Xenopus tropicalis: one gene and its partner. The main gene of each other region encodes a partner of the protein of the gene in region 2 in a complex. Links are inferred from orthologs where the notes say so. Each region holds a gene or a part of one and is shown on either strand. Other genes may lie near its edges.

Region 1 (3,951 bases), on a different chromosome or scaffold from region 2:
GAATTTAGGGCTGAATGGTCAGAGAGGAGTAGAATGCCTATTGTTTCTACTGCCACATCCGACGAATTAGCCCTGAACGTCATTGGAGGGTATGAACAATTTTTCGTGAGACCAATGGTCACAGGAAAGATTGTAATTGTTACGTGTATAGCCAGCTTTAGAATGTCAGTTTTTTACACTGTTTTGAAACAGAGGTGATGCAACACAGGGAGAGCTGTGAAATTCTGTCACCAAAGCAGTTGTACTGGAAGATACATTAGACCAGGGGTGGGCAAACTACGGCCCGCAGGCCACGTCCGGCCCGTTGGTCCTTTTAATCTGGCTTGCCGACTCTGGAAGTCTCATGACGCGAGGCGTCTGACAAGTGGAAACGGTGTAATGCTGGCCCGGCCCGTCTGTAAGTCAATGTGGCCCCTGAGCCAAAAAGTTTGCCCAACCCTGCATTAGACAGTTTCAAAAGAGGGTTGGATGCCTTCTTAGAAAGTGAGAAAATCTAGGGTTACAGTACTCTTAGAAGTTGATTTAGGAACTAGTCCAATTGCCCTTCAAAGTCAGGAAGGAATTTTACCCTGCTGAGGAAAACTGGAGATAGCTTCAGATGTTTATTTTTTTGTTTGCGATCCTCTGGATCAATGTTCAATTCTGTTATAATATCACCCCGATCACAGTGCTACCTATACTGGATAGGGAAAAATGTACTGCTCAAACTGGTATATTACGTCTGCTTCTCATAGTAACCTTGCAAGACAACTTCAGGCTAGTACGCAATGCATATGTTTTCCCACCAGTTATTTACATTAATGCTGATGGGAAGAGAGCTTTGGACGTTTTGTTGCTCGAACTGGAGAAGAGTATGTGCAGGTGGCAATACGTCCCATATGCCATTGCCTAATGTAAGATTGCAAGCTACAAAACACAACCTGCTTGTCACACCTTATAGGCAGCATAAGATTCACAAGAAGGACCAGCCATGTACACAATTGCCTGGGTTGGCAAGTACTCCAGCATCCTGTTCTGTACTAAAATCTGTTATTACACTATAAATGTTGATGGAAAGTTGCTACTTTCCGAAGCTCTCATATGCCTTTGGTTGATTTCTAGGTCTAATTTATTGAAAGCTTTAAAGGAGACATAAAGGATAACCACAAAACCTCTAATCTTGTAGGCAATTATGGTGCTGGTTTCACTTTGGACTAAAAATTAATACTATCTGTAAAAATGGTCCTTTTTTGGAGCTCCCTATAGACCGTCTCCTAATGCTCCCTGCCAGAAGCACAGTAGGATAGTGATAGCCAATCACAGCCCTGCAGTCACACAGGCAAAGACAGGCTTCAGTTCCCTATCAGGTCAGCCTAGCTGCTGATTGGTTCCTATCCTACAGTACAGTGTGCCCCCTCAATTCATTGGCACAATATTGTTTTTAACACAACATGTCCCCCTGGTTATTAGATCCCATGACCCACTTTGCATGTGCCTGTGTGAGTGTGTGTGAACTGGTCAGCATAGTCAAACCTACATAATTCAGCTTATTTATGCAACTTGTTACTTTTACATTTGCAAGCAGCTTGTATGTTATAGATACCTCTATAGGACAGATAGTGCATGTTTCTCTCTCTGGGAGTATATCAGATATAAGGAAGATAACAGTAGTTATGGTTTTTATTTCAAAGCCAATTGACTGTGTGTTACAAAACCACGTGACTGACATACAGGGAAACCAGGGACTGACAGGCGCGGAAAAGTCTCACACAATTTGCTATTAAAATCGCTGTCATTATCCTAGATAAAGGGGTACGTTGACTTTGGGCAGATATTTTTTCAGACCCTGGCTTGCGTCCCGTCCTTTTTAAAATACCTATAACCTGCTTTCACAGCAGGATAACGTCCAACCTGCGGCCATCCATTTGTTGACTTAAAACTCACAGCTATCCCTGAGAGCTGTAAATTACTAACAGCTAAAAGACCCCCAAGTAAGATTTCACTTCTCTGAAGAACAAGACAAAAAAGAAACCAGGTCCCACTATTCAGTTTCTAATGCATAAAGTCACGTGTAGGTCGCTGCCTCATGCCCAAAGAGTCGGATTTAGATCACACTATCCACTCTTTAAAAAAACATCATAGGGCTAAGAGAAGGGATCATTACCCGGTTTAAAAGCCCACCCCGGTAATGGGAGGGATCAGGCCCCGGTACTCACTGTCCATGCCCGGGAAAGGGAGGGGTTGAGCCCCCAGCTGTTGTTCCACGGCCAGTTCCAGATCGAACCGGATATGATCCACACAAGCAATTAACTCCTGCATCGTTATCGTTACCGGTACCGAGTCCGACACCAACACCAAATATCAGCATCAGACTCATCCAGCAGAACGCCGAACGATGGATTTCTCAACCTAGAGCAGGGCACTCTGGGAAAGAACCAATGCAAAGCACGTCGGGAGGAGGCGGGGCTGAAAGCTGTGGGTGGAAAAAAAAAAAGATTAAAATCGAAACGTGAGAGCGATGTTGGATAGTAAGTTAATAAGTTGGATGTTATTTGTATAAAGCAATTTAGAAATGTTCGTTATGGTACATTTACTGATCAGAATTGTGTATAGAAAGGCAATACTACGGAGTAAGGTGTCTCACAAAGGATAGAGGACGAATATTTTGAAACTTGTTAGGATGTCGGATTACAGACAGTACGATTGTAAATGCAATATGTAATGTGAAATGTATGCTTTTTAGCGCAGTAGTCTTTGCTTAGTCCATGTGTTTTAATAGGGAAATCTGTGTGTCTCTGTCAGTATCTCCCAGCAGTGCCAGGAAACCCCGGCAATGTGACATATTGGCAGTGCTCTCAGCAATACAGGCATGTGTAGCTAAAGGTTACAGGGCCCTAAAGCAAAAACATTCTGCCCGTCCTTCGCTTTAGCAATAATGAAACTTTTCATAATCATATTTTGAAACTGTCTATCTGTCAGTATTACAAAGGAATCTCTATACAGTCCGCAGCTGCTGGGTCCACTTTCTAGATATGACACTGGAGAATACAGAATAGGGAAATCTATATATACCCGTCGCTATAACGTATTACTACTTCTTACATAGTATTTTGGCATTAGGGAATTATTAACAAAAAAAGGGTTAGTTTTTCTTAAATCTGCTAATGAAATTTGGCTTGTGTCCCAAGCACTGTCCCAAAGTTGGAGGGGGGTCACACTTTTTTCCCCCTAACAAGTTCCTATTGTGAAAATACTTATTTTGGCAATAGGAATTTGTTAATTAGAGGTCAACAAACAAGCATTCGCTTTAAAGGAGCAGAATATATCCCCAGCAAGAGTCCAGTAAATAGGCCAAAAATATCCTTTGCCTTCTATTTTAATTAAGAAATATCTATAGTTTTGCAGTTTCTTGCATTATATATGGCAAACTCTGGAACTGAAAGCTCCTTGATTTTCCAGCTTCCTAGTTCTTCTAAGCAATTGTGGGGTGAGAAGATAGTAAAACAGTTTACTAGTCCACAGATAACTCATTTTTCTAGGAGAAGGGTATATTTGTTTATGCAGCGGTCATTTTCTCTTTTTAAATGAGGACTAACTCTCCCACAAGCAAAAGCCCCATAGCCTACCCTTAATTAACCCCATTCCTGCTCACTCCCGGCAGAGTCTGTTAGAAAAGTGCCCATTTTTCTGTGAGGAAGTTGCAGGGAGGGGGGCCAATTGAGGCCAGGCAATGAGGGGCTTTTTCCTGTGGGGGGGTTTAGTTCACCTTTAAACAAATTCTTTATCCCTAGTCACTAACAGGACTGAGGGCCTCATTGCTTACCTTTGTGCTTGAACTATCATAAAGGAAACCCCACTTTTTGAGTTTGCTAATTCATTCTGGGTTTTGGGTGGAAAAATCTCAGCAATTGATGTTATTTCCCCTAATGGGTTTTTGTAACAAATGAAAATTTACAGAAGTTAGGGAAAGTT
Region 2 (4,318 bases):
CCACTATTACAACTGTTTCTCCCACAAGGCAGATATTAGTAGCAGGGGAACAGAGTGAGATATAAAGTTACCTCCAGGTACACCATCCCAGCGTCCCTCACAACAGTGACAGCTTTGAATACCCTCAGTGCATCTTTCTCATTCACTTCAATCTCTTCCACATCCCCTGAAAGGAGAGAGAGAAAGGCTTATTATAGCAGGTCTGCCTGATGCCCATGCCCTGGCAGCACCTGTTGGTTTTAATGCCAAGTCCTATACAATACATGCAATATACATTTCTGTCATATACATTTTCATCATTTCACATGATATTGAAAAGAGATGGGGTGGCTACAAAGATTGGGGAACAAGACATGGAAATTAGGGAGCATGCAGAGAGGTCAGACAGACTGGGAAATGAGTATATAGTATGTAGAGATGAATTGGAGATCAGGGGGGAAGCAGGGAAAGGCCGGCAGGTTATGGGACAGAAGCAGATGGCATATTGTATTTGCCAGTTGTAGCCATTCTCTCTATATCAGTCAGGAGTCCCTACCTCATTAACCAATATGGCCGTATCTCCCTATAATACAAACTAGATGTATGCTAGTGTGCAACACAGCTGACATGGAAAAGTAAATGTATTTTAAGGACAGGGCTAGCTGAGTGGTTTCCCTGCTCTCCAGTCTATAATCAATAGCTCCCAATAAAACCCGTCACTTGGGAGAATGTTGGTGATAAAAATGGATCACCATTTGGATTGCAGTCTTAGGTTTGCCAAAATGGATCCTACCCTCGGGGCCCTGGGTAAGTCAGAATGCCTCATTTCCCAACCTAAGAAAACATTAAGTACATGGGGATAGACTATCTACTGTCCTTCAGTGACAGGTTCACTAAAACAGCACCCTCAATGACCTTACACATAACAATATTATATAATTTCCACTTTAACTAGGGACATTCTCAGACACTGGGGCCCCAGGGCAAATGTAATGTTTTATGGCTTTATCACTCAATGCGATTCCACTGTCCTGTATCAGCCCATCACAGAAATGAATGTCACAGGGGTCAGGCAGGGCAGAGATGACCCTTTGTGTATATATAAGAAAGGATGTTACCTGTAAGCTGCTGTAACTGGCAAGACAGAAGGTTAAAAGGGCCAGTATATGGAATGGCCTGTTTCTGCGTGACGGTGCTCATGGCCAAGTCAGTATAACCTACAGACAGAAAAACAGAGAATTACAGTTAGCTATACTACATTAAATCACATTACATTAAGTTGATTAAAGATGACATATACCTTGATTTTAAATATAATGTTATACAATAGAAGGAAATACATTTGTTTAGCATACCATGTCATTCCAGTTTCTATAAAAACCCTGAACAATAATCTACCGTAGCTCCCCTTACTCTCACTTTCCCTTCTTATTGTCTAGCAGAGCCAAAGCAGCCAGGGGCTCTATAATATACATGACGTTCGTATCTGCAATACTGGCTCTCCCCTGTCTTATTGCAACTCAAAGCAACCAATTAGTGATTAATTTCTTTTACCCACCTGGAGGTAGAACAATTAAAACCAAACATTTGATTTGTTGCCATAGGTTACTGCCCAAGTGCAAATTTGCCCAGTGGTAATAAATGAGCTGCACTGCGGCTTCACTTACTAGAGAGGTCACTGGGACAAAGTATGTGATAGTTAAAGTTCCTCTTCACCAGGATCCCTGAAATCCTCTGTCCTTGCTCTGGCTTCTTGTCTGCCAGTAAACCCATCACCTGGTGGACAGAAACTGCAATGTGAATCTGAAAATGCCACCGAGCAGCAGTTTGCATTCCAAAACCAACGTGGGCCCTGTCTTTCGGGGCAGTGCTGTACCTTTGCCAACTTTTCTCCTCTGAAGTTCAGTGTCACCGCCTCTGTGTTCCTGGGGTTGTGAACCTCAATCTCTACTTCATCATTGTCCTCGTATTCTCGTATGAGAGCAGCTTTTAGCCTTGCCATTTCATTCTGTTCCCCATGCACCAGTATCTGTGGATATTACAAATAAATGCCTAAAGGGGAAGTTCATCGTTGATACAACTTTAAATATAAAAGTACAAAGCGACAGAGTCCAATTTGCTTATAGCCCAGGTAGTGGCTTCTAACAAAACTGACCCCAGAATGAGTGTGGGGATTCAGAGTCCTTTAGCAGAGAAATTATAATAGAGGATTTGATATAACTGATAAAATTGCACTGCAGTGTTCATTCATATAAATAATTCTAGGACTAAAGGTGGATGAACTCCAACTGGCTGTGCTGGCAGTTCCAATGCTTTTTATGGCACATATTGCGTCAAGGGATGTGCAAGCCTAACAGGGAGATCAATTGCAGGAATGGGGAAACAAGGTGGGGACTGATACTCACCACATGAGGAGGTTTCAGGGCCCGGACAAACTCGCTGGTTTGCTGGTAATCTGTGTGGGCTGAGAATGAAATGTAATCCACAGACATCTTAAGCGGCAGCTTCTGCCCAGACATGGTGGCGATCTCCTCGGGCTCAGACATGATATGCTGTGGGAAGGAAGTTCCATCAGAACAGGGGGAAGCCTGCATGTCTTATACAGCTACATGGGATGCTGACACATATATACAATATTCTGTTCATTATATTAATATATACTAAGCCCATTTTCCATACATACACCATTTTGCTTCTTCTTACATTTACATGATAAAATCAAATGTTGGGGTGGTGGCACAGGCCAGACAGTGAGATATTTTGCACTGACACAGCTAGGTACCTAGGTACTAAGACTCCTGGTGTCACTCTGTTAGGGGTGTCTAATGCATATGATGGACATTAATCACTATACTATATTTATGAGTGCAGAGTGCTAAAATGGATGTAGGGCTGTACATGCTCTGCTTCACAAAGTAACTTTGCTCTCACACATTTAGATCTTGCAGGAAGTGCCTAGTGTAGAGAATTGTGCAATGTACAGGCTACAACAGAACCCAGGAACCAATCCAGAGTTGCAGGGTTCCCCTAGAGTGTTGTGTCGACACATGCAATAGAGTTGTGTCAAATGAGCTGGATGCTAATGCTGTTATTGTCATTGTTATTATTCATTTTTTTTTCCAAGTAGACCCACCAAGCTTGTGTATTTTGAGACCCCAGCAGGTGTAGAAGCAAAGTGCAGCAGGGTCCCAAAGTCTTTTTGATGTATTTCCAGATGCCACCAGGCAGAGATGCAAGACTAAAGCACAGTAAGGTCCCAGTATCCCCCCACACCAATGCAGACAAACACAGGTTGGCCTGTGCCGGCAGGCAGGTTTTGGTGTGAGCTGTGTAATGATGCTGGATATCAAACTCCCAAGCAGCCTAACAGCTATTAAACTACAGTCCAACGGTCATTAACAGCCTAATACACTTTTAAGGGGGTAGTTTACCTTTAAGTTAACTCTTTGTATGTTATAGGATGGGCAATCCTTAGTAACTTTTCAATCGTGCTTTTTTTTTTTTTTTTTTATATCTTATAGTTTTTTTAATTATTTTCCCCACTTTTTTTTTTTTAATCTTTCTAGCTTTCAGATGGGGGGGTTACTGACCCCAGCAGGCAAACAACTACTGCTCTGTGATGGTACAATGTTATTGTTTTGGCTACTTTATCTTACTCACCTTTCTATATTCAGCCCCTGCCCTATTAATACCCTAGCCTTTCATTCAAACCACTGCCTGGTTGCTAGGGTAATTTGGACCATAGAAACCAGATAGCTGCTAAATTCTAAACTGGAGAGATGTTAAACAAAAAAGCGAAATAATTAAAAAAAACACCTATAATAATAAAAATAATAAAAACTGAAGACCAAAAGCAAATTGTCTGAGAAAATAAATACCTGCAACATACTAAATGTTAATTTTTAGGGAAACAACCCCTTTTAGCAGAGCTGGGATGATAGTTAATGACTAGAAAATGGGCAGAGTTTGGCACCTATAGAACTAGTAAAATGTTAATGGAGGAATGCACTAACTAGGTAACCCTAGATTTGACTGAGAGTGACTGAGGATGTGGGTAAGATGACAAAATTTGCAGTTGCATCCAAATTTAGTTGAATATGCCCACTGTGTCATGTGACTAGGCACAAGTGAAAAATATATTTGCCATGCTCTTTGAACTTACCTTGGCAAGTGTCCCTTCCACACAGTAGCCAGCTATAATCACACCATTTCTCTTATCTGTGCACCAACTCTCAAACAGTTCTCTGGAGAGACCGCTCTGCATCATTCCAGGGGAGGCCATGACCACACTGGGGCCAATGTCATCAAAGTGGTCCATACTCTGAAACACAACAAACAT

The links. Proteins that work in one complex are often made in the same cells at the same time.
Region 1: cpsf3 (region 2) and cpsf4 share a complex: the UniProt entries of both Homo sapiens proteins name them as parts of the cleavage and polyadenylation specificity factor (CPSF) complex. The link is inferred for Xenopus tropicalis from reciprocal best matches to the Homo sapiens genes CPSF3 and CPSF4.

Annotation. Positions count from the first base shown.
Region 1 is NC_030685.2:47,261,644-47,265,594, forward strand, and holds the start of cpsf4 (cleavage and polyadenylation specificity factor subunit 4), read right to left. Parts: upstream 2,801-3,951; 5' UTR 2,624-2,800; intron 2,508-2,623; exon of another isoform or gene 2,453-2,507; 5' UTR 2,299-2,452; coding exon 2,196-2,298; exon of another isoform or gene 2,144-2,195; intron 1-2,143. UniProt on the Homo sapiens protein: Component of the cleavage and polyadenylation specificity factor (CPSF) complex that play a key role in pre-mRNA 3'-end formation, recognizing the AAUAAA signal sequence and interacting with poly(A) polymerase and other factors to bring about cleavage and poly(A) addition.
Region 2 is NC_030681.2:137,813,573-137,817,890, reverse strand, and holds part of cpsf3 (cleavage and polyadenylation specificity factor subunit 3), read right to left. Parts: intron 4,301-4,318; coding exon 4,142-4,300; intron 2,532-4,141; coding exon 2,385-2,531; intron 2,009-2,384; coding exon 1,856-2,008; intron 1,756-1,855; coding exon 1,647-1,755; intron 1,197-1,646; coding exon 1,098-1,196; intron 167-1,097; coding exon 72-166; intron 1-71. UniProt on the Homo sapiens protein: Component of the cleavage and polyadenylation specificity factor (CPSF) complex that plays a key role in pre-mRNA 3'-end formation, recognizing the AAUAAA signal sequence and interacting with poly(A) polymerase and other factors to bring about cleavage and poly(A) addition.